3 linked regions of the Sus scrofa genome follow. The protein of the gene in region 1 interacts with the protein of each later gene in a biochemical or structural test. Links are inferred from orthologs where the notes say so. Each region holds a gene or a part of one and is shown on either strand. Other genes may lie near its edges.

Region 1 (7,544 bases):
AGCTGGCTCCACCACTGCCTTTCCCCTCTCCCCAGCCTTCCAGACCGAGGGCAAGCTCTACCTTATTCTGGACTTCCTGCGTGGCGGGGACCTCTTCACACGGCTCTCCAAAGAGGTGAGCTGACTCCCTGGGGCCCACTGCCAGAGGGACCCAGGATGGGGCTGGTGGCACAGTGAGGCCTCTCAACCTCTCCCCAGGCCTGCGCAGAAGACCCTGACCCACCCTGAGACAGAAGCCATTCACTGGCAAAGCCTCTGAGAGTTTCCCCTAAGTTGGGCTGAAGGGAATCAGGCTCTGGATCTGATGCCACCCTGATTCCGGGGAGCTGAGGGTGGCTCTCACCTCTTTATTTCCATTCCTTCAGGGCTTCCCTGGGTGGGGCTGGGAGGATGGCAAGAGGCCCAGGTCCACCCAGAAAGCTCGATACTTTAATATTATGTCCACTGTTAACCAAAAGGATCTTGAACTGATGTGAAATAATTTGAACCAGATATAAAAATGGGGCCATTGGGATTCCTACTGTGGTGCAACAGGATCGGTGGCGTCTCTCCAGCCCCAGAACACAGGTGGCGTTGCTGCAGCTGTGGTGTAGGTTGCACCTGTATGCTGTGCGGACAACCAACAAAAAGGAGTGGGGACCATTAATACAACTTAAACTTTAGAAGAAAATGAAACTTTTAAATGTTATTTTAATGTTTGAATAGGTAATACATGATTAACAAGAAAAATGTTGGAGTTCCCATCATGGCTCAGTGGCTGGCGAATCCAACTCGTGTCCTTGAGGGCACAGGTTTGATCCCTGGCCTCGCTCAGGGGGTTAAGGATCCGGCATTGCCGTGAGCTGTGGTGTAAGTCACAGACGAGGCTCGAATCCCATGTTGTGGCTGTGTTGTAGGTCAGCAGCTGCAGCTGATTCAACCCCTAGCCTGGGAACCTCCATATGCTACAAGTGCAGCCCTAAAAAGCGCCCCCCCCAAAAAAAAAGAAAGGATACTCATTGAGATGTCTTCTTCCCACCCCAGCCCCATACCCCCAACCCCCACCATAGGTAAACATTTTTATTCATTTCTTGCCTAAGCTTCCCACGTTTCTTTGGAAATACAAACCCATTCAGCCTGTGTTCTGAATCCTGACCCCCTACTTTCTTGCATACAATATATATTTCTTACATATATACTGTTTTGTACTTTGCTTTTTTCATGATAGTATGTCTTGGAGATGGATCCGTATCAGAACATGGAGGAACCCTTGTTCTGGTTTACGGCTGCATAGCACTCCGTTATGTGGGGGGAGTCATTTAGTCTGCTGCTTGACCCTTGGGCTGTTTCCAGGATTTTGCTATTTGCATTTCAATGCTCCCATGAGTGACTTGGATATTAGTCATTTCGTTCTGCAAACCCCTTCATAAAGAGAAGGGTGTGTGGCCCTGGAATCCCTAAGGAGGACCAGGAAGCTGCTGACTGCGCAGTGCCCCAGCTCCCGAGGAAGAGGCGATCCAGCTGAAGCTCCCTCCTGCCTTTTGCAGGTTATGTTCACGGAGGAGGATGTGAAGTTTTACCTGGCCGAGCTGGCTTTGGGCCTGGACCACCTGCACAGCCTAGGCATCATTTACAGAGACCTGAAGCCTGAGAAGTGAGTGAAGGCCCAGCCCCGCCCGGCCTCCCTAGGGTTCAGAGGCAGGCCCTGGGGTCTCTCCTAGGACAGAGCCAGCCTAACAGGGGTGGGTGTGACTCTCCCCAAGAAAGTGTCCCTGTCTTGGGCTGCCCCATGAATGGGTGGGTGGAGCAGAGTGGGCTGCCTGATCACTAGCGCTGCCATTACCAAGGACCAGTCTCCTCGGTAGCTGGGTGTTACCTACCATTTTGCTACCCTGGTGTGACATCTGAGATGCCCCCATTAAAGGATATTCCTTGATATAATCCTTTCTAGAATTTTCCTTAACATCTAAATATCCTTAAGTGGAACTTGGGAGCCAGAGGCAGGTGCTGAGGTAGAATGAGACTTGGCTTTTAGAGTGAGGCAAACCCAAATTCAAATCTTGCCTCCACCAGCCTGGCTCTATGACCAGGGGGAGCTATTTCACCCCCCTGAGCCTTAGTTTCCCCATTGTTAAAAAAATGGAGCCATGAGGGAGTTCCCGTCGTGGCGCAGTGGTTAACGAATCCGACTGGGAACCATGAAGTTGCAGGTTCGGTCCCTGCCCTTGCTCAGTGGGTTAAGGATCCGGCGTTGCCGTGAGCTGTGGTGTAGGTTCCAGACGCGGCTCGGATCTGGCGTTGCTGTGGCTCTGGCGTAGGCCCCGGGCTACAGCTCCGATAGACCCCTACCTAGCCTGGGAACCTCCATATGCCAAGGGAGCGGCCCAAAGAAATAGCAAAAAAAGACCAAAAAAAAAAAAAAATGGAGCTATGAAAGTACCTACCTCACACAGTTGTTTCAAGAATTAGCAAGAGGGAATTCCCATTATGGCTTAGCAGTAACAAACCCAACTAGTATCCATGAGGACTCGGGTTCGATCCCTGGCCTCACTCAGTGGGTTAAGAATCTAGCATTGCCATGAGCTGGTGTATAGGTCACAGATGCGGCTCGACTCCTGCATTGCTGTGGCTGTGGCATAGGCTGACAGCTACAGCTCTAATTCGACCCTAGCCTGGGAACTTTCCATATGCTGCGGGTGTGGCCCTAAAAAAAAAAAAAAAAAAGAAGAATTAACAAAAAGGTAGGCAACACACCTGCACAGCACCACCAACACCCGCTCCACCCACCCATTCATCAGATGGACCTGGGTGGACCACCTGCTCTGGGCTGGGCCCAACCTCCACAGCCCCCAAGGTGTCACCAGCACCCTCCAAGGGCCCATGGCTGAGGGGTCTTGACTCCCATCTCTCCATTGCAGCATCCTTCTGGATGAGGAGGGCCACATCAAGCTCACTGGTGAGTGGAGGGCGCTTGCCCCTCAGGCTTCAGGGGAGGGCAGGATGGGCTCTTGATGGGCCTGGGCTGAGTCCTAGGGGATCTGTTCTTCCTGAGAGGCGGTGCCAGGCACTTGGATGTGCTCAAAAGCCCGGGACCCAGACCTAGAAAGTCCTGGGTTTAGATCCCAGCTCCCCACTGTGTAACCTTGGGCAGGTCGCCTAACCTCTCTGGGCCTCAGCTTCCACCTGAGTGTCACGGAGGTGATGCTCTCAGGCCTCTGGGCAAGGGGGTGGGCGGCAGGGAGGGGCGGGAGGAAGGCAGGGGGTCCTGAGGATGTGTGCTCTTGCCCTCCTTGCCACAGACTTCGGCTTGAGCAAGGAGGCCATTGACCACGAGAAGAAGGCCTACTCCTTCTGCGGAACAGTGGAGTACATGGCCCCCGAGGTCGTCAACCGCCAGGGCCACACCCACAGTGCAGACTGGTGGTCCTATGGGGTGCTGATGGTGAGTGCCCAGGCCTTGGGCCTCATTTCCCCATCTAAATAGTCAGGGGTCATGATGGTCTCTAAGGCTCTTTTGTCCTCTCACAGCTGAGCTGGCCTCACCCCCACCCAGCTGCAGTTTCCTTCCTTAAAAGGATTCCAGGCTTGGCGTTCCCATCGTAGCTCAGTGGTAACAAACCTGACTAACATCCATGAAGATGCGGGTTCAATCCCTGGCCTCACTCAGTGGGTTAAGGATCCAGTGTTGCCGTGAGCTGTGAGGTAGATCACAGACATGGCTTGGATCCCGTGTGGCTGTGGCTGTGGTGTAGGCCAGCAGCTGCAGCTGTTTCGACCTCTAGCCTGGGAACTTCCATATGCGTGGGTGTGGCCCTGAAAAGACAAAAAAAGGGGGGAGGGTTCCAGGCTTGGCCCCATCTGGGGTGCCCCTAGCCTGGGGCCCATAGTGTAGTTCCTGGTGATCTGATTGACAGAGGGACAGACACAATTCTTGATCCAGGTGAACCTCCAGCTGGCAGGCAGGCATCCTGGGAATGGAGCTGAGTGGCCCGGGTGGGAGGAGGCGGCGGCATGGGAAATGGGACCAGAGCCTGATCAGACCCTTGTCCTCTGCAGTTTGAGATGCTGACGGGCTCCCTGCCCTTCCAGGGGAAGGATCGGAAAGAGACCATGACACTGATTCTGAAGTAAGATGCAGCCGCTCTGTGATTCCTCAGTCTCCCCTACGCCCGGCTTCCGTTTAGGTGCCAGAGTTCAGATTCCCCATTAATGAGACACTCCTGGGTCAAGCATTATGCTTTCTAGGGCTTTCTTTTCACCAACCAGGGCCCGTGGGAGGGGAATCCCTGAGTCTTTGGGAGGGGAGTTCGTGGATGGCTTGTCTGGAAGGGGCTGGAAGCTAGACCTGGACAGAGGCGGGAGGCGAGACGGGGCCTCCGGGGCGGGGCTCAGCCCTGACGAGGCCTGCGGGCTGTTTCAGGGCGAAGCTAGGCATGCCCCAGTTTCTGAGCACGGAAGCCCAGAGCCTCCTGCGGGCCCTGTTCAAGCGGAATCCTGCCAACCGGCTCGGTAAGCAACCCCTGCTCAGGGGAGGGGAGCAGGGTACAGCTGCGGCCCAGGCCACGGGGCCACATCTGGGGCTGAAAGGGGCCGTTGTCCTTTGTGTGGGCAGACAATGCCGCCGGCCACCCTGCCTTCTGGCTCCATGCGTGGCGTTTGGGGCAGGGGGGTGACCTGTGTGTAGGGGGAAGGCAGGAACTGAGTCATCTCCACTCGCCCTGGGGATGAGGACAGAGGCCCCCACACAGCTCCTCCGCCAAGGCTGCTGGCACGAGAGACGGAGCATGAGCTCGGGCGTCAGAGGCTCGGCTCCCCATGATAGGTCCCCCTGCCCGACACACAGTGGTCCCTCTACAAATATGTGTTCAGCGAATGAGCGCCATTTATGAGCGAAGTGACTCAGGGGAGTTAACTTCACCCCCTGGAGCCCCAGTCCTTGTCTCCGTGGGCGACAATGGTCTCAAGCTTTGTCGATTCAATGAGGTTGCATAAACATGCCTTTAGTAGCTGCTCAGTGTGTGCTGACTCCTTGGCTCCTGGGTTCACCTGGACCATGACCATGCTGGGCTCTGAAAGGTCCCACCCAGGTCCCTGGGCTTAAGCGGAGTGAGAGGCTGTGTGGTGGCTGCCAGGGGTAAGGGGACAAGAGCAGGAGATGAGGCCTGGGTTGGGAGGGAGGTGGGGGCCCCCTGCAGATCTTGGAACAGGCTCAGCCTTTGTCCTGTGTGGCCTTGGACGAGTTGCCGGGCCTCTCTGGGCCTGCCTTCTCCCATCCGCACCCTGGAACTTGATAATAAAGGGGCTCCAGGAAGTGGAAAATGCTGGGGGGCAGCAGACCTTGGGATGATGGCTGGATGGAGCCCGGCCACCCCCATGTTCCAGCCACTGGTCCTAGACCACAGTGAGGCTGCTCGGCGGACAGGGCGGGTGTCTGGGGCTTGGAGCACCCAGGGACAGACCCCTCATCTGGGCTCTTTCAGGCTCGGGCCCTGACGGGGCCGAGGAGATCAAGCGGCATGTCTTCTACTCCACCATTGACTGGAACGTGAGTGTCTGCCCCCCCCCTCCCCCGAGCCCCACCACAGCAGGGCTTCGACTGTGGCGGGAGGGGGCTTTTATTGACGAGGGCCTCTGCTTGGCCCAGAGGTGACGGCATGGCCTTGGAGGCACAGGCTGGCCTCCCGAGGGCCAGCACTTGTGCCCTGTCTGCGTAGCCTGTGCTCTAGGCCCTCGCTCCTCCTGCACGGGGCTGCTGGCGGGCTGTGGAGGGGCCGTGGTGAGCAGGCTGCCTGCTCCACCTTGCAGAAGCTGTACCGGCGTGAGATCAAGCCACCCTTCAAGCCGGCCGTGGCACAACCCGATGATACCTTCTACTTTGACACCGAGTTCACGTCCCGCACGCCCAAGGGTGCGTCCCTTGTCTGGTTTGTCTTGGGCTGGTACAGTGGGAAGCAGGGCGACAGGAGCTCCTGGGGACGAAGGGGTGGTCAGGGCTCTGGCAGGCCCAGGTGTGTGGGCAGACAGGCGTGTGGGTCTCTCACTCTTTGTCCCCATCTCATCCTGCCTGGCTGTCCCACTCCAGGGCTCTATGGGCCTCTTTGTGCCTGGCTGAGGGGGTGGGGGTGAGTGGGCGATTAAGGCCACAACAGAAAAGTCAGGACCCCTGCCCCGGGCCTCTTCAGCCACTGGGAAGACCAGACACAGTCACGTCAGGGCTAAAGAATCTGACCCAACAAACACGTGAGGTGGAGACCGTCTGGCAGAGCAAAGGTGACAACGCTCCCAGATCAGGGGCAAGCGTGGGAATCAGCTTTGGCTACTCTCACTGCTAGGCTTCAGTCTACTCATCTGGAGCGTGGGCCCAGTCACAGGCCCACTCAGTCAAGGGTGGTGGTCACCACTGGAAGCCAAGGAGGGGGCTTCTAGGAGGAAGCTTGGTAAATCCTAATCTTTTGGGGAGTTCCCGTCATGGTTCAGTGGTTAACGAATCCGACTAGGAACCATGAGGTTGTGAGTTCGATCCCTGGCCTCGCTCAGTGGGTTAAGGATCCGGCGCTGCTGTGAGCTGTGGTATAGGTTGCAGATGCAGCTCGGATCCCATGTTGCTGTGGCTGTAGCATAGACCTGTGGCTACAGCTCCGATTAGACCCCTAGCCTGGGAACCTCCATATGCTGTGGGAGCGGCCCTAGAAAAGGCAAAAAGACAAAAAGAAAAAAAAAAAAATCCTAACCTTTTGGTCAGGTATTGGTGAAGAGTATTCTTTCCGGAGGGCAGGTTTTAGTAGGAGGTGTATTTTTCTTTTCTTTTTTTAAAGGCTGCACCTGAGGCATATGGAGGTTCCCAGGCTAGGGTCGAATCAGAGCTACAGCTGCTGGTCTACGCCACAGCCACAGCAACACAGGATCCAAGCCACGTCTGCATCCTACACTGCAGCTCGTGGCAACGCCGGATCATTAATCCACTGAGCGAGGCCAGGGATCAAACCCTCATCCTACGGATGCTAGTCAGGTTTGTCTCCACTGAGCCACGATGGGAACTCCACAGGGGAGTTTTTCTCACTGTGGTTTGCACTCCTGTGGTGTCAGGGAGCTTAGCACTTCTCTGAGCAGTCTGCCCCATCTTTGTTTACCTGGCAAATATATAGCAGGTCCCTACTATGTGCCAACGATGGGAGGCACTGAGGGTGAACAAGCCAGAGCCAGGCCCTGCCTTCATATGGCTCAGGCTCTGGTGGCAAAAGAGACGTGGGAACCGCTGCTGGGGAGCACAAGGGGCTGGAGGAGCATCATGAGGCCCGGCTTCTCAGAGGACAGGGTCGAAGCCAAGCCTCAAAGGAAGGACAAGGAATGAGTTGTATAGTTAGCAGGAACAGCATGTGCAGTGGCACGGAGTCTCCTTGAAGGATCCAAGAAGCTTGGTGTGGCTGAGCTGTGGGGTTGGGGTTGGGGGAGGAGGGAGGAGGCTAAGATCACAGGCACCTCACTGCCAGGCTGAGGCTCTGGGCTGTCTCATGAGGGCAGACGGGAGCACGTGAGGGGCACAGGCAGGGGGTCGATTTAGGGTT
Region 2 (7,544 bases), on another chromosome or scaffold:
TCTGGGTACCAGTAACCTCCATTGTATGAGGTTTGTTGTGACACCAAAGTGACCCATGGGCACTGGCGAAAGTGTTTGGAGTTAGTCTGTGTCGGAATTGTTCTAACAGACTTCAGGGGGTGAGTTCAATAGGGAATCAGCTGTTAGTATGGTTTCTAATCCTGCAGACGAACCCTCAAGACCCAGGGAGGAGCGGCATTTTGGGGCCTCCGGCAGCTCAGAGAGACTTGAGAAATGGAGACCCAGCCATTTGGCTCCTTCATGGCAGCAACCTGCTGTGCTCTTAAGAGCCCTCCAGACTCTCCAGGCCGTCTGTGGTCCTAGAGGCAGAGCAGGATGTAGATGAGTAATAATGTCAGCAAAGAACCAGCCCAGCAGGGCCACGGGGGGAGGCACCATCCTGGGGCAGCTAGGGGTCAGAGATGGCGGCTGTCACAGGGCTGGTGCCCTGCAGGACTCAAAAAGAGCAGCACCCAGTCGTCAGCATCTCGCCAGGCCCCACAGACCCTCTGTGGTCAAGCCTGGCGGGCCAGGGAGCAAGTTCCTGCCCATCAGTACACAGGCCCCTGTCAGCACCCTCCTGAGTCATCTGCTCCCAGGAGGGGCCTGGAAGCCCAGAAAGGATGCCTTCAAGATAAGAATGGAAGAAACCCACAACCCACATCACAACTAGAGGAGTAGGAATCCAACAGCAGGTAGAATTTCTGAAAGGCAGTGTGGAGAATGAAAGAGTGTGAAGGATCCCTGGCCTGCGAACTTCCACGGGCCGCAAGCATGGCCAAAAAAGGGGGGGAAAAGAAAAACAAAAAAAACTGTGTGAAGGTGGAGCTTGTAAAAGATCTCGTAGAAGGAGAGAGATCCACCTCAGGCAGAGTCCGAGGCAGGACATGAACTCCCAGCCTCTGTTCCAAAGCAGAGGGTGGGAGTTCCCTGGTGTCCTAGCAGATGAGGATTCAGCGTTGCCACTGCTGTGGCTTGTAGTCACTGCTGTGGCTCGGGTTCAGTCCCCAGCCCAGGAACTTCTACATGCCACAGACTCAGTAAAAAAAAAAAGTCAAAGCAGAGGGCAAGATGGGCTGGCCACAAGACGGCCCAGGGGCAGGGAGGGTGGGCCCTTGTGGTCCCTGATGAGGGACTTCAGTGTCCACAGCTTTCCTGTTGAGGCCTCAGGGTCTTTGGCATCTGGACACCCCACAAGTCTGATGGTTAGTCCCAGATTTCGCCTTCCTGTTAGGATCCCTTCCTGACCTGCCATGAGGAAAGTGAAGAGGCTATGCCCCTCACGCCTGGCTGGGGAGAAGGAGCTGTTAGCAAAAGCGGTTTGTCAGCTGAGCAGCACCTGCCGCCAGAGTTCGGGTCCTTTGGTTTGGTGTTTGGGGTGGATGCGTGCAGCACTGAGATGGGGCAGCAGATAAGAGCTGGCCAGATACAGGATCCCAAGGCCTCTTGCCCTTTCCATCCAGTTCACGCTCGGAGATTCGCCTGGGCCGCTCTGAGAGCCTGAAGGGCCGGGAGGAGATGAAGCGGTCTCGGAAGGCGGAGAACGTACCCCGCTCTCGCAGCGACGTGGACATGGACGCCGCCGCAGAGGCCGCCCGCCTCCACCAGTCAGCCTCGTCCTCTGCCTCCAGCCTCTCCACCAGGTGGTCAGGGCTCAGTGGCTCAGCCTGCTGATGGGGGGTCGGGGGGCAGCGGCAGAGGGTGGCTGAGAGTTGACATTCTCTCCACAGGTCTCTTGAGAACCCAACCCCTCCCTTCACCCCCAAAATGGGCCGTAGGTGAGTGAGGACAGGCCTGGTAGGTATCCGTGTCCCCGCCATGCTCGGCTGCCCCTGCCCTCTTCCAGTGGCTGGTCAGTGGTGCAGCTCCTCTTCGTGGCCTGCTGGTTTCCCATAGGCCCAGGGCAGGCAGGTGGGGCAGGAGAGGGAAGGAAAAACCCCACGTTTGCATTCTTCCTCCGAGTGATGCTGAGCTGCTTGTTCCCCCAGGAGTATTGAGTCCCCCAGCTTGGGGTTCTGCACAGATGCCCTCCTCCCCAACCTCCTGGAAGATGATCTGGGCCATCTGTCTGATCTGGAGCCAGAGCCAGATGCCCAGAACTGGCAGCACACAGTGGGCAAGGATGTGGTGGCTGGGCTAAGCCAGAGGGAGATTGACCGGCAGGAGGTCATCAACGGTGAGGACCAGCTCCACCTCCCCCCGTCCACCCCAACTCATGTGGGAACAGGTGCAGAGCATCTCAGATGCAGAGGGTGGTAGAGAACACAGGATGGGGCCCTGGGGGCAGGACTGTCGATGCTGCGGTTCTCGCCAGCCCTGGGGAGAGAGGAGTTGATGCGCCATCTGAAACCAGCACCAAAGGTATAGGGGTTCAGAGGTCTCAGTTGTGACTCTAGATCCTTGCTAATTGGTTTTCTTCCCACCTCTCTGCCCCTCCTCGTCACTACCCCCGCTCAGAGCTGTTTGTGACAGAGGCTTCCCATCTGCGCACACTCCGGGTCCTGGACCTGATCTTCTACCAGCGGATGAAGAAGGAGGGCCTACTGCCCCGGGAGGAGCTGGCCCGGCTCTTCCCCAACCTGCCCGAGCTCATCGAGATCCACAGTGAGGAGCCCGCCCCGCCTCCCCCTTCCCTGGCCAGCCTTCAGGTTCCTGCTCTGGTCTCGCCCGCCCCCACCCCCTCCCTGAGCAGATAGGCCCCGCCAGTCCTCTTTGGTGGGAGAACCTGATGTTCAGCCTGAAGCCAGCATTCCAGCTCCCCCATAAGTGAAATGGCTTCCGGACCCTTCCCCATGGCACTTCTCTCATCGCAGAGAGCCCGGCCGGGCAGCTTCACCCCAGGCACTTGTGTCTCTTCTCTTCGCCCCAGATTCCTGGTGTGAAGCCATGAAGAAGCTCCGGGAGGAGGGCCCCATCATCAAAGAAATCAGTGACCTCATGCTGGCCCGGGTATGGCCACCAGGCCTGGAGGAGGCGGGGGGTGGGGGCAGGGGGTCCCAGGCAGGGGTATGAGGCCGAGTGGTGTCTGTTCTGCCTCTCAGTTCGACGGCCCTGCCCGGGAGGAGCTCCAGCAGGTGGCCGCGCAGTTCTGCTCCTATCAGTCCATCGCTTTGGAGCTGATCAAGACCAGGCAGCGCAAGGAGAGCCGGTTCCAGCTCTTCATGCAGGTGCTGCTCGTTGCCTCTAAAAGCAGCCAGTTCAGTCACAGCGCAGCAGAGCTGAGGGGGAAAGTTAACTAATTCGCCCGGCGTCTCCCCAGCTCTCCTCCCGGCCCCAGCTCTGGGTGCCTTGGCCTCTTGTCTCTGCCAGGGAGGGTAACCCAGCAACTTGCTGCACCCTCCACACCCTCCCCCACCCTGCTGTTCAGAAACACCGACACATACCCACCCCCAGGACAGATGCTCTGGACTTGCCGTCAGAAGGGCCCCCTCACCATAGCCCTTCCTGGGTTGTTGTCGCCCCACCTCCACCAACCTCACTCTAAGTATTTAAGCAAGAAGCTGTCACCACTACTTCTCAGTGACCCTCTGGGATTAGGACCTGTCTGGCATTTGCACCCTCCTCCGGGTCCTGAGCCGCAGGCCAGCTCCTACCCTGGGCTCACATCTTTCTCTGTGCCTCCTTCCATCCAGGAGGCCGAGAGCCACCCTCAGTGCCGGCGGCTGCAGCTTAGAGACCTCATCATCTCCGAGATGCAGCGGCTCACCAAGTACCCTCTGCTGCTGGAGAACATCATCAAGCACACGGAAGGTAGGGCTCAGCTCAGACCCTGCTTCTAGCACCGACTTGCTCTGTGACCTGCGCAAGTCACTTGCCCTCTCTGGTCTTCAAGTCTTCATCCTTGTGTTGTCAGGGTCAGTCTCAAAAAAAGATGATTATAAATGTGCTTTGGGAGTTCCCCTCATAGCTCAGCAGTTAATGAACCCGACTAGCATCCATGAGGACTTGGGTTTGATCCCTGGCCTCGCTCAGTGGCTTAAGGATCCGCCGTGGCCGTGAGCTGTGGTGTAGGTTGCAGACGCAGCTCGGATCCCGCGTTGCTGTGTCTGTGATGTAGGCCAGCAGCTAACAGCTCCGATTCAACCCCTAGCCTGGGAACCTCCATGTACCACAGGTGCGGCCCTAAAAAGACAAAAGACCAAAAGTAAATAAATAAATAAATAAATGGCAAAAGTTAGGTGCTCAGTAGCAGGAGGAGGGAAGGGCCGCCTGTGGCCTCTGTGGGGCCTCTGCACATCAGTGGAAAGCCTCTGATCGGACGCGGGTTGGCACACAGGGGCGCCGCGGCTCCTCTGATGATCGTGGTCCCCCACCAGAGGCCTTGGCTGGATTTTAACCCCATCCATCCCCCCGCCGGACATCTCTGCGCAGTGCACTAAAGATACAGTTGTGCGTGGTTACTCCAGAGGAGTGCCAAAAAGAAAGTCTAGCCCCAGGTTGCCACTGTCCCTGGGATCCTGAGTACCTTTTCGCCACCTTCAAATTTGGGCCATCGATGTCTGGATGTAGAAGTGGGAAGAACTGCAGTCTGGTTTGAACAGGTGTTGCTAGAGGGAGGCACCATCATTACCGTTACCCAAAGCCCCCCTCCTTCCCACCCCCACCCCACAAAGCTCGTTGTGGTCTAGGCAGGAATTCCTGGGAGCCATCAGCAGTGCTCTGAAACCCAGGGACCCTCGGTATGAGTTATCCTTATACTGTTAGGCAAGGGTGGCGTGTCTACGCCCATACCTGCTGGTTTGTGACAGGCCAGTCACCATGGCTGTGGGTAGCCAGGTACTGTTGGGCCCTGACACACTTCTCAGGCAGGAGCCCTAACATCCTCCTGTCTACCTCGATGGGTAGGTGGCACCACTGAGCACGAGAAACTCTGCCGGGCCCGGGATCAGTGCCGAGAAATTCTCAAGTACGTGAACGAGGCTGTGAAGCAGACGGAGAACCGGCACCGTCTAGAGAGCTACCAGAAACGCCTGGATACCACCTCCCTGGAGAGGGCCAGCAACCCCCTGGCAGCGGAGTTCAAGGTAGGAGGCAGAGGCTGCAGCGCCGTCAGCCCCACGTGCACACGTACTTCTCGGGCACCCCTTGGGGCAGAATTCGGGTCAGGGCGGGGAGGAGGCCTGGGCTGTCTGTGATGGGATGGCGAAGGGGGTCCCTCTGACCATTGTCCCCCCATCCCTGAAGAGACAAGAGCCTACAGGCCCACCGTAAAGGCTACATGTGAGAACTCGGCCTGGGCGAGCAGGGGATGGGAGTAAACTCGAGGTGGAGGTGAAGGTCATTCGGGAGGGAATAAAGCCGAAGGGATGGGCAGGTACAGAGAGTCGTCTTAGGAGGGTAGACGCAGGTGGTAGGCAGTCGAGAGGCCCCAGCCAGAGCCATGACTGTGTCCCCCAGCACTTGGCACGTGACCTTTGACTTGTCTGCATCCCCACATAAGTGTGAGGCACAGACTGTTCTGGGCTTGCCACTGATTCCCAGCACCTTAGCACAGTGTCTGGCCCAGAGCACGTTCTCAGATACTTGGTGAATAAATGAATGGTGTCTCCTTAACAGAGCCTAGATCTTACAGCCAGAAAAATGATCCACGAGGGGCCCCTGACCTGGAGGATCAGCAAGGATAAGACCTTAGGTAAGTGCAGGGGGCCCGGGGCTGAGAGGGGATCTAGGCTGTCCCCTCTCCCGATCATAAGCCCTGTATCTGGGTCTCTGGAGAGGTAGTAAGGTGGCCGGAGAGGCAGCTTGAAACACCACTGGAGATGACGGCTCAGGGCTCCTTCAGCACAGCCTGGGGAGGGAGGACCAAAAACAGTGGAGTCGGAGGTCACCAGACTCCAGGGCTTCCTAGACCCTGGGGATGGTCGTCCAAGAGCCTCTGGTACCCCATGCGTCAATGAGGGGTGAGCAGGCAACAGGGAACACCTCACAAGCACCACATCCCTCCAGACCTCCACGTGCTGCTGCTGGAGGACCTCCTCGTGCTGCTGCAGAAACAGGATGAGAAGCTGCTGCTCAAGTGCCACAGCAAGACGGCCGTGGGCTCGTCGGACAGCAAGCAGACCTTCAGCCCCGTGCTCAAGCTCAATGCCGTGCTCATCCGCTCTGTGGCCACAGGTACCCGTGAGGAGATGGTCCCAGCTGGCCCAGGCCTCGGGGCCATGATCCCTGTTACTCATGTCCAGCGAGCACTCAGTGATACGGGGCTGATCTGGGGCCATACGAAACTTCCTGGCCCTATTTGTTCCTTTCCTCCTACGCTGGCCCATCTAAGCAGGAGGATGTGGTCCAGCATGGTGTGGGGTGACGGGTAGGATGGGGGGACCAAGATGAAGATGGACAACCTGATGCAGGATGGGATCCGGGCATCTAGGGTGGGCTGAGGAGGAAGAGTGAGCAGCGTTGGGCAGGGACAAGCCTTTCTGCGACAAGAGTGAAGGGCAGGAGTTCCCGTCATGGCTCAGTGGAAACAAATCTGACTAGTGTCTGTGAGGATGCAGATTCAATCCCTGGCCTCACTCAGTGGGTTAAGGATCCGGCACTGCTGTGAACTATGGTGTAGGTCTCAGACGCAGCTCAGATCTGGTGTGGCTATGGCTGTGGTGTAGGCCAGCAGCTATAGCTCCAATTCGACCCCTAGCCTGGGAACCTCCATATGCCACCGGTACAGCCCTAAAAAGACCAAAGACCAAAAAAAAAAAAAAAAAAAAAGAGAGAGAGAGAGAGAGAGACAGGGAGAGAGGGCGGGGCAGAGCTCGCTTGCAGAGACCAGTGTACCCACATCCAGAGCCCAGTCCAGTGCTCAGAGCATTGCAGTGAGCAGCAGAGCTTGTACAAGAAGGACTCTGGAGCAAGAGCGAGGAAACCACATTCTCTGCACTTGCTTTTTTTCCCCTCTAACATGGGAGGTGATACCTGCCTCTAGGGGCAGGGGATATAAAGGGAGGATGGGTGTGATGTAGTTTTATAACCCCAAAGCACCTTACACCTGTCAGGAAAGCAGGAAGTAGTGGGGGTGGCTGTGAAGATGACCTTAGGGGACCCAGAATTGCCTATGTCCTTTTTGTAAATGAGCCCCAAGCAGTTCTTTTTTTTTTTTTTTTTTTTGTCTTTCTAGGGCCCCACCCACAGCATATGGAGGTTCCCAGGCTAGCAGTCGAATGGGAGCTGTAGCCGCCAGCCTACACCATAGCTCACTGCAACACTGGATCCTTAACCCACTGAGAAAGGCCAGGAATCAAACCCACGTCCTCATGGACGTTCAATTCGGGTTCATTTATGCTGAGCCGTGACGGGAACTCCACCCCAAGTGGCTCTGACGAGCCAGGTCCATCTCTCGCTGCCTTCTCCATCTGGTTGAAGGTCAGGGCTCCCGGTCAGCACTCTGTCGCCCTGGCCCAGGCTGCAGTCAGGCCTCTGCCACCCCCAGTGTGGACCCTTCTCCCTTCTCTCTCTCACACAGATAAACGAGCCTTCTTCATCATCTGTACCTCCGAGCTGGGCCCACCCCAGATCTACGAGCTAGTGGCGTTGACATCATCGGACAA
Region 3 (6,998 bases), on another chromosome or scaffold:
GCTCTTTCCTTTGGCCTGAGGGGGACCCGAGCGCTCTGAAAGGAGAACTCAAGACCCGGGTTCAGGAGAGGGGGCTGGTGGCCTTTCCCCTCTCAGCTCCCCCCACCCTTTCCCCTGGCTCCCCCCACCCCCAACACAATGAGCAGCTTGTTGAGAATTTGCATTTTATGAAAATCGGGTGGAAAACAAAGGGGTCTCTCTATGTTGCCCAGTCCTTCCCCCCCTGGCCCCTTTGGGAATTGTCCCCACCCCTGAGGCCCATCTTTGGTTCCCAAGAAAGAGGGTTTCCTTCTCTTTCCTCCTTGGGGCAGCCTGAGGGGAGGTTTAACAAGGACACTGACCAGGAAGGCCTTGGGCTGTTTGGGGCACACAGAACAACGATGGACCTGGGCCTGGACTTTTTCCCAGGAATAATAATTTAGGGAGAGAGACTAGTTTTTCAGGGACCCAAAAGAAGTAGGGACCTTCCGCTCTGTCATCCCCCACACCAAAAACAAAACAAAGCAGAAAAACCAAAAAACACCCAAACTCCCAATCTCTCTCCTTGAGAATAGTGAGACTTAAGGACAAGTTTGAGATCTAAGTGGGGTTTTTTTGTCCCAGAAAACAACAAAATATATGGCAAAATTGAAAGGCCCGGGTGGAGCTAAACACAGCTGCCACTTGCAGCTGTATCCAGAGCTGGTCCCTGAAAAGGTCTGTACTTTGGGGTCCCTCTGTCCCCTGCCTTTCCATGCTCAGGCTGAAACTGTCAGCCAGCCCTCCACACCTGGCCTCTGACCCCAGCTCTCCCAAGCCACGCTCTGCAGCTGATAAATTAGGAGGAGAGACCCATGTGGTCCTGGGGGCTCTGGAGTATCTAGACAGGCAAGCCCAGGGGCCTCCTGCCCCTCTCTGAATAACACCTGAGACGAACCCTTGCTTCAGCTGGTAGGGTCTAGGGCTCCTGAGCCCCTGTAGATACACGCCCTGGGGGTGGAGTCTCTCCTATCTAGATTAATGACCCCCCCACACACCAGACTGGGAACCAGCACAGGGCTTCATGCACCCAGCACCCATGAGGGCTGTTGTGTCTCCACAGTCCTGGTTATGGGGGTGGGTAAAGCTTGGGGAGAAAGTTATGGGGATACTGACAGTGGCACTCTGCAGGTAGCTACACCAGCAGGAGAGCAGATGTGGAGCTGGGGCCGGGTAGACGGGCAACAGGGACTGGGATGCTGGGTCTGAGGCCAGAGCCCAGGCGAGGAGCTCCCCAAAGGCGGGCTCTCAGCATCTGCTTCAAGACGGCTCCCTCTCACCTGCTCCTTCCTGATTCTCCTTCCCACCCAGGGCTCCGGATTCCGCTGGAAGAGTCTCAGCCAGAGTCCTGAACAGCAGCGGTGAGTCACCGTTACCCCAGCCCCTAGACGGGTCCAAAAGGGTGAGGTGCTGGGGTGGGGGCAGCACGACACAGCATCTCAGGCCAGCCAGTGGGGAGTCACGCTCCTGCCCTTTCAGCACGGCTCCCTCACTGAGAATGGGGGGCAGGTGGGGGTGTGGGCTGTGTCAGGGGGGTGGCAAAGGAAGGAGGTAGGCACTTTTGAGTCATCAGGTGCTCCTCAAGCCGCCCCCAGTCCCTGCCAGGTCCCCCTCCCTGGAGAGAGCTGCTCTGGGGGGGGGGGAAGCAGGAGAGGTCTTTGGGGCTCAACCGAGCCCTCCCAGCCCCAGCAAACCTCGAGGGCCCAAACCATGTTCCAGCTGCTCAAGTGGAGCGGCCCCTGCCTCCAGAATTTCAGTCCTCTGCTGGTCCCATCCTGGGGCAGGGGTGCCTCTTAGGAAGGCTTTGAGATGAGGGCAGAAGGAGGTGCTGACTCTGGCCCCACTCTGCCCATGTCCCATCTTGATTCAGGCCTGGCTTCTTCCAGAATGGATCAGCAGACTATGGCCTGCTGGCCAGGTTGGCCTGACTGAGCCTTGAACTAAGAGTCCTTTTTATATTTCTAAAGGGCTCTAAAAACAAAAACAAAGAACCATGTAGGACAGAGGCTGTCCACTATTTTAGGTCTCAAAAAGAAAGGCTAAAATGTTTTCTGTCTGACCCTTTGCAGAAAAAGGTTGCCAGTCCTTCTAGAAACCCAGAGAGCCCTGGAGTAGATACAGCAGTCACCCTGCTCCCCACCCCAACACACACAGAGGGGGAAAAGCCTGCATTCAAAGCAGGGAGGAGCTCAGGCTGGGGTTGGGAGTTGCTGCTCTGCTCTTGGGCGGGAGGGTATGCGGGGCAGGTTTGGGCCCTGAGAGGCCTGGGTCTCCAGGGCCTTTCTGAGGCCACGAGGCGGCTCGAAGGGGCCTTAACTCTGCCTCTGGCAGGCCGGGAAGGAAGGGGATGGGGGTGGGCAGAGGAAACTCTGGGCTCCCCCAGCAGGCGAGGATCTGGAGCAACTCCAGACCATTGTGTCCAGTGGGCAGGCCGTCAGTCAGTGCGGGAAGGGGCGGCCTCGAGGCTCCCCTCCCCCCTCCCGAGCCCTCACATCTGGTGGGCTGGCCCCACCGCAGCTGGGAGGAGCAGCTGTGGTCTGGGCCCGAGCCTCGTGACCGGCCTCTGGGGGTGGGGCCAGCCCTCTCCCCAAGGCTCCGGAGCCGCCAAGGAGCAGAGGACGCCCTAGGCTGGGGCCGAAGTGGGGGCCTCAGCTAGCCAGCAAGTGGTATTCTGGGGCTCACTGGAAAGCTGGGCGTGTGGCCCAAAAACTCAGCTAGCCCCCCGGGCCCCGGGGGCCAGGCATTCCTGTGCCTCCCTCTCCAGAGGCTGGATTGATTCTGTGTGGCTCCCTGAAGCTACCTACGGTCAGCTACACATGGGGAAGGACGTGCCGGCAACCTGTGACCCGTGTGACATGTCTCTGGGACAGTGAGCCCGGCCCAGATGTTCCGGAGCAGACCCCAGCATCAGTGGGGGCCACGCTCTGGGACCACCCAGCTCCTTTTAATCCTGACAGTCTTTCCTGTGTCTCCTGCAGGAAGGTTCTGACTCTGGAGAAGGAGGAGAACCAGACCTTTGGCTTTGAGATCCAGGTGGGAGAAGCGGGGTGCTGAGGAGGGGAGGCGCGGGGAGGCCAGTCTGCGGGATGGGTGGATCCTGTCCCAGCCTTGGGCTGAGGGCCCCCTGTGTGTTACAGACTTACGGCCTCCACCACCGCGAGGAGCAGCGTGTGGAGATGGTGACCTTTGTCTGCCGGGTTCATGAGTCCAGTCCTGCCCAGCTGGCTGGGCTCACACCAGGTGAGGCCCGAGCCCAGGACGCAGGGCTCTGGGAGGGCGGTGTGACCCTACTCCCAAGCGGAGGGGGCAAGAAATCTCATCCGAGGAGTTCCCCTTGTGGTGCAGCTGAAACGCATCCAACTAGTATCCATGAGGATACGGTTCGATCCCCGGCCTCACTCAGTGGGTTGAGGATCCAGCGTTGCCGTGAGCTGTGGTGTAGGTCGCAGACACGGCTCGGATCCCATGTTGCTGTGGCTGTGGTGTAGGATGGCGGCTACAACTCCGATTTGACCCCTAGGCTGGGAACCTCCATAAGCTGTGGGTGAGGCCCTAAAAAGAAAAAAAAAAAAAAAAAAAAAGAAATCTCTTCTGAAACCACTCCCCCTTTCCTCCTCCTCTTTTGAGAAGACCAGAAAGAAAGAATGGATTGGATCCAGGCAAATGTGCCATTTACTGCGTGATCTTTAGCAGTCCCATCTGCAGACTGGGGGCAGTGACCTGTCCTCACCTCGGTGTAGTGAGGGGATTCCCTGGGCACAGAACCGAGCCCTGGTAAAGGCACATGCTGCTGCTGTCCTGCCTCCTCCTGGCCATCTGGCCATCTGGCCATCAGGCATGGACAGGAGTTGGGGAAGGAACAACATTCCATTAGAGCCGCTTAATACTGGGGATCAGGGCCTTACTTGGCCCCAACCTGGCCCAATACTTCCTCTAGCAAGGAAATGGTGCCTCCAGTAAGAGACCCTTGGGACTGGCCAGATCTAGAGTCCCAAGTCCCAGGAAGGGGCAGCCTGAGACCACAAGAACTGACCTCCTGTCACCATTCTCTTCCCTAAGCCCTCACCTCCTGGCCCGTTGCTCAGCAGCCCCAGGGAGCTAGAGGGGTTCATTGCAATTTTGCAAAGGAGTTTCAGCTCCACTCTCCCTTCTAATCTCAAGGGTAGCCATAGCAGGGATCCCCACCGCTTTTCCGGATGGGAGATGAGCCCTCAGAAATGGTGGCCAGCCCTGCCTGAGCTCAGGAGGCTCCACGGTGGCCCAGGGCATCAGAGGCTGAGGCCACTTATGCCTGGGGCCAGTGTTAGTTCCCAGCTGGTTGCTACTCACCCAGCCCCCTTCCTGTCTGCTGGGTCTCATGACAGCCTGTGGGCTGAACCAAAATAACCAGCTCTGGGGGCAGCCCAGGCTTGAGGGGAGGGCTCAGCCCTTGAAGACGGCGCTTCCTGAGGGTGAGGTGGGGCGGATGGGTGGGGGGGGAGGTGTCCGAGGCCCTGGCCCCTGTGCTGGGGTGTTGGGCCTGGACCAGATCTCCTCAGAACCATGAGTGGGGGTAGGGAGTACAGGCAAATTCTATGGGGTTATTACCCCTAACCTTTCTGGAGAAGGTAAGGGGCTGAGATTCTCCCACGTGCCCCACGGAGCAGATGCCAAGCCCCTCTCTGCCTGGCAGGGGACACCATTGCCAGTGTCAATGGGCTGAATGTGGAAGGCATCCGGCATCGAGAGATTGTTGACATCATCAAGGCGTCTGGCAACGTTCTCAGGTAAGTCCAGGTGCCTCGGTCCCTGGCAGGGGAGGGGGGGACAGGGGACCTGAGCTCAGCCTCCCTCAGAGTTTCCCCACCCCCTGGGCTCACTCAGCCTTCGATTCCCCAACCTCCTCAGACTGGAAACTCTGTACGGGACATCAATTCGGAAGGCAGAGCTGGAAGCTCGTCTGCAGTACCTAAAGGTAAGGCAGCCCAGAGACTTGCTGCCGCCACCACCTCCTCTTCCCAAGCCCCTGCCCCTGCAGGCCCGGGTCTCTTTTAGTTTATCTTCCTGGACCTCCTTTTAACCTAAAGGTTTCTTCTGTGTACTCCCTGATCCCTCAGTCTGCAGCCACCTCCCCCCCTAGTTGCTTGCTAGCTCCTGACAGCGAGGCGGGGGGTGTCTCTTGCAGCAAACCCTGTATGAGAAGTGGGGAGAATACAGGTCCCTAATGGTGCAGGAGCAGCGCCTGGTGCACGGTGAGTAGAGGAGGGCTGTGCCCGGTCACTGGCACCCCTACCATACCGTCTTCCCTGCTTCCCGCTCCAAAGTTAAAGAAAGCTGCTACTACCGGTGCAGCGCTGTAACATTTTTAGGTAATCCTTATACCTGTGCTCTGAGGAAAGTGCTAGATCCCGCCATCTCCATTTTACAGATGGGAACACCGAGGCTCAAAGAGCTTGTTTCAGACCCCTTGGCGGCTCTTGTGTCATCAGTGGGCCTCATAAAGCTCTGAGTGTCAAAGATCCGCTTGAGGGAGGTGGGGGCTCAAGGTTGTGCCCCGCCCACGGGCCACGCAGACGGTCAGGAAGGAAGGAGCCAAGGTCTCCTGCCCTCGCCCTCTGACGGTCCTCCCTCGTGTCCTCCGCCCCGCAGGCCTCGTGGTGAAGGATCCGAGCATCTACGACACGCTGGAGTCGGTGCGCTCCTGCCTGTACGGCGCCGGCCTGCTCCCGGGCTCGCTGCCCTTCGGGCCCCTGCTGGCCGCGCCCGGGGGTCCCCGCGGGGCCGCGCGGCGGGCCGGGGGCGACGCGGACGACGCCGTCTACCACACGTGCTTCTTCGGGGGCGCCGAGCCGCCCGCGCCGCCACCGCCGCCCCCCGCGCGCGCGCCCGGCCCGGGCCCCGCCGCCGTCTCGGCCCCGGGGTCCCGGGCGCTGCTGAGCCGCAGCGCCAGCGTGCGGTGCGCGGGCCCGGGGGGCGGCGGCGGGGGCGGGGGCGCGCCGGGCGCGCTCTGGACTGAGGCCCGCGAGCAGGCCCTGTGCGGCCCGGGCCTGCGCAAGACCAAGTACCGCAGCTTCCGCCGGCGGCTGCTCAAGTTCATCCCCGGACTCAACCGCTCCCTGGAGGAGGAGGAGAGCCAGCTGTAGGGGCGGGGGCGGGTGGGGGAAGGTATTTATTTATTTATTCGTTTCAGCCAGTGCAGAAAGGGGACAGGGGCGGCCGCCCGGCCGAGGGGACCCCAGGAGCCCAGAGCAGCGGGAGAGGGTCCTAGCCAGCCAGCCAGCCCAGCTAGCCTTGCTCGGTTCGTCGTTTGTCTCTGCGGAGTGGTGAACCCGGGTCCAGACCCCTCTCCTCCCCCTCCCCAAAGCCGGAGTGGGAGGTGGGCCCGGGAGAACCAGGCAAGCTCGGGGTTGGGAGAGGTTCGGGGGCCAAAGATGCGGCGTGCCATCCTACATCTGGGTCAGTAGTGCCTTGTGGGGTGTCGAGGAGAACCCCTCCTCCGGGTGGGGGGGTCCCTGTCCCACGAAGCCCTCTCCTCAGCTTTACTCTCCTCCCACCCTTGGCCTTGGGGACAAACGTGGTCGTTCCCCCACCCTCCACATACGTATGCGGATCCAGTTAACCAGCGGCCCGCCTCAGGGGCCCAAGGTGCTGGTCCCCCTCTCTCTCCCGACCTTGACCCCTAAGGCCTTGGCTCCTCCCAGGGGCGTGTAACTAAGCGGGGTCCTGTCGGGCAGGGGTCCTGGGTTCTCGGCCTGTCGGGGGACAGGAGTGGGCACGTCCGGGTCGGGTGGGGGCAGCACAGACTGTTCCACCGTTTTGCATATTGTTGCTTCTGAACCACAAACTATAAAATTGACGGTTTTTTGCATCTGTGTCAGCGTGGTGACTGCCTGAGGGGGAGGATTGGGTTCGGGCAAGCTCTGACTCCACCGTACACCCGCCCCCCAACACACACACACACACACACACACTATTTTACATCTTATCTGCTTGGAGCCTGC

Evidence for each region. The genes of interacting proteins can lie anywhere in the genome.
Region 2: the proteins of RPS6KA1 (region 1) and ARHGEF11 interact in a test that uses a peptide from one of them, tested with the Homo sapiens proteins (2 studies listed by BioGRID and IntAct). The link is inferred for Sus scrofa from reciprocal best matches to the Homo sapiens genes RPS6KA1 and ARHGEF11.
Region 3: the proteins of RPS6KA1 (region 1) and GRASP interact in a test that uses a peptide from one of them, tested with the Homo sapiens proteins (2 studies listed by BioGRID and IntAct). The link is inferred for Sus scrofa from reciprocal best matches to the Homo sapiens genes RPS6KA1 and TAMALIN.

What each region holds. Positions count from the first base shown.
Region 1 is NC_010448.4:83,924,601-83,932,144, forward strand, and holds part of RPS6KA1 (ribosomal protein S6 kinase alpha-1), read left to right. Parts: intron 1-35; coding exon 36-115; intron 116-1,526; coding exon 1,527-1,633; intron 1,634-2,897; coding exon 2,898-2,935; intron 2,936-3,278; coding exon 3,279-3,421; intron 3,422-4,035; coding exon 4,036-4,106; intron 4,107-4,399; coding exon 4,400-4,488; intron 4,489-5,459; coding exon 5,460-5,524; intron 5,525-5,784; coding exon 5,785-5,887; intron 5,888-7,544. UniProt on the Homo sapiens protein: Serine/threonine-protein kinase that acts downstream of ERK (MAPK1/ERK2 and MAPK3/ERK1) signaling and mediates mitogenic and stress-induced activation of the transcription factors CREB1, ETV1/ER81 and NR4A1/NUR77, regulates translation through RPS6 and EIF4B phosphorylation, and mediates cellular proliferation, survival, and differentiation by modulating mTOR signaling and repressing pro-apoptotic function of BAD and DAPK1.
Region 2 is NC_010446.5:93,145,078-93,152,621, forward strand, and holds part of ARHGEF11 (rho guanine nucleotide exchange factor 11), read left to right. Parts: intron 1-1,463; coding exon 1,464-1,643; intron 1,644-1,730; coding exon 1,731-1,778; intron 1,779-1,988; coding exon 1,989-2,176; intron 2,177-2,457; coding exon 2,458-2,604; intron 2,605-2,869; coding exon 2,870-2,949; intron 2,950-3,041; coding exon 3,042-3,167; intron 3,168-3,632; coding exon 3,633-3,750; intron 3,751-4,845; coding exon 4,846-5,024; intron 5,025-5,556; coding exon 5,557-5,632; intron 5,633-5,946; coding exon 5,947-6,114; intron 6,115-7,459; coding exon 7,460-7,544. UniProt on the Homo sapiens protein: May play a role in the regulation of RhoA GTPase by guanine nucleotide-binding alpha-12 (GNA12) and alpha-13 (GNA13). Acts as guanine nucleotide exchange factor (GEF) for RhoA GTPase and may act as GTPase-activating protein (GAP) for GNA12 and GNA13.
Region 3 is NC_010447.5:17,359,169-17,366,166, forward strand, and holds the end of GRASP (general receptor for phosphoinositides 1-associated scaffold protein), read left to right. Parts: intron 1-1,329; coding exon 1,330-1,379; intron 1,380-2,996; coding exon 2,997-3,051; intron 3,052-3,155; coding exon 3,156-3,258; intron 3,259-4,690; coding exon 4,691-4,784; intron 4,785-4,905; coding exon 4,906-4,972; intron 4,973-5,182; coding exon 5,183-5,249; intron 5,250-5,646; coding exon 5,647-6,140; 3' UTR 6,141-6,865; downstream 6,866-6,998. UniProt on the Homo sapiens protein: Plays a role in intracellular trafficking and contributes to the macromolecular organization of group 1 metabotropic glutamate receptors (mGluRs) at synapses.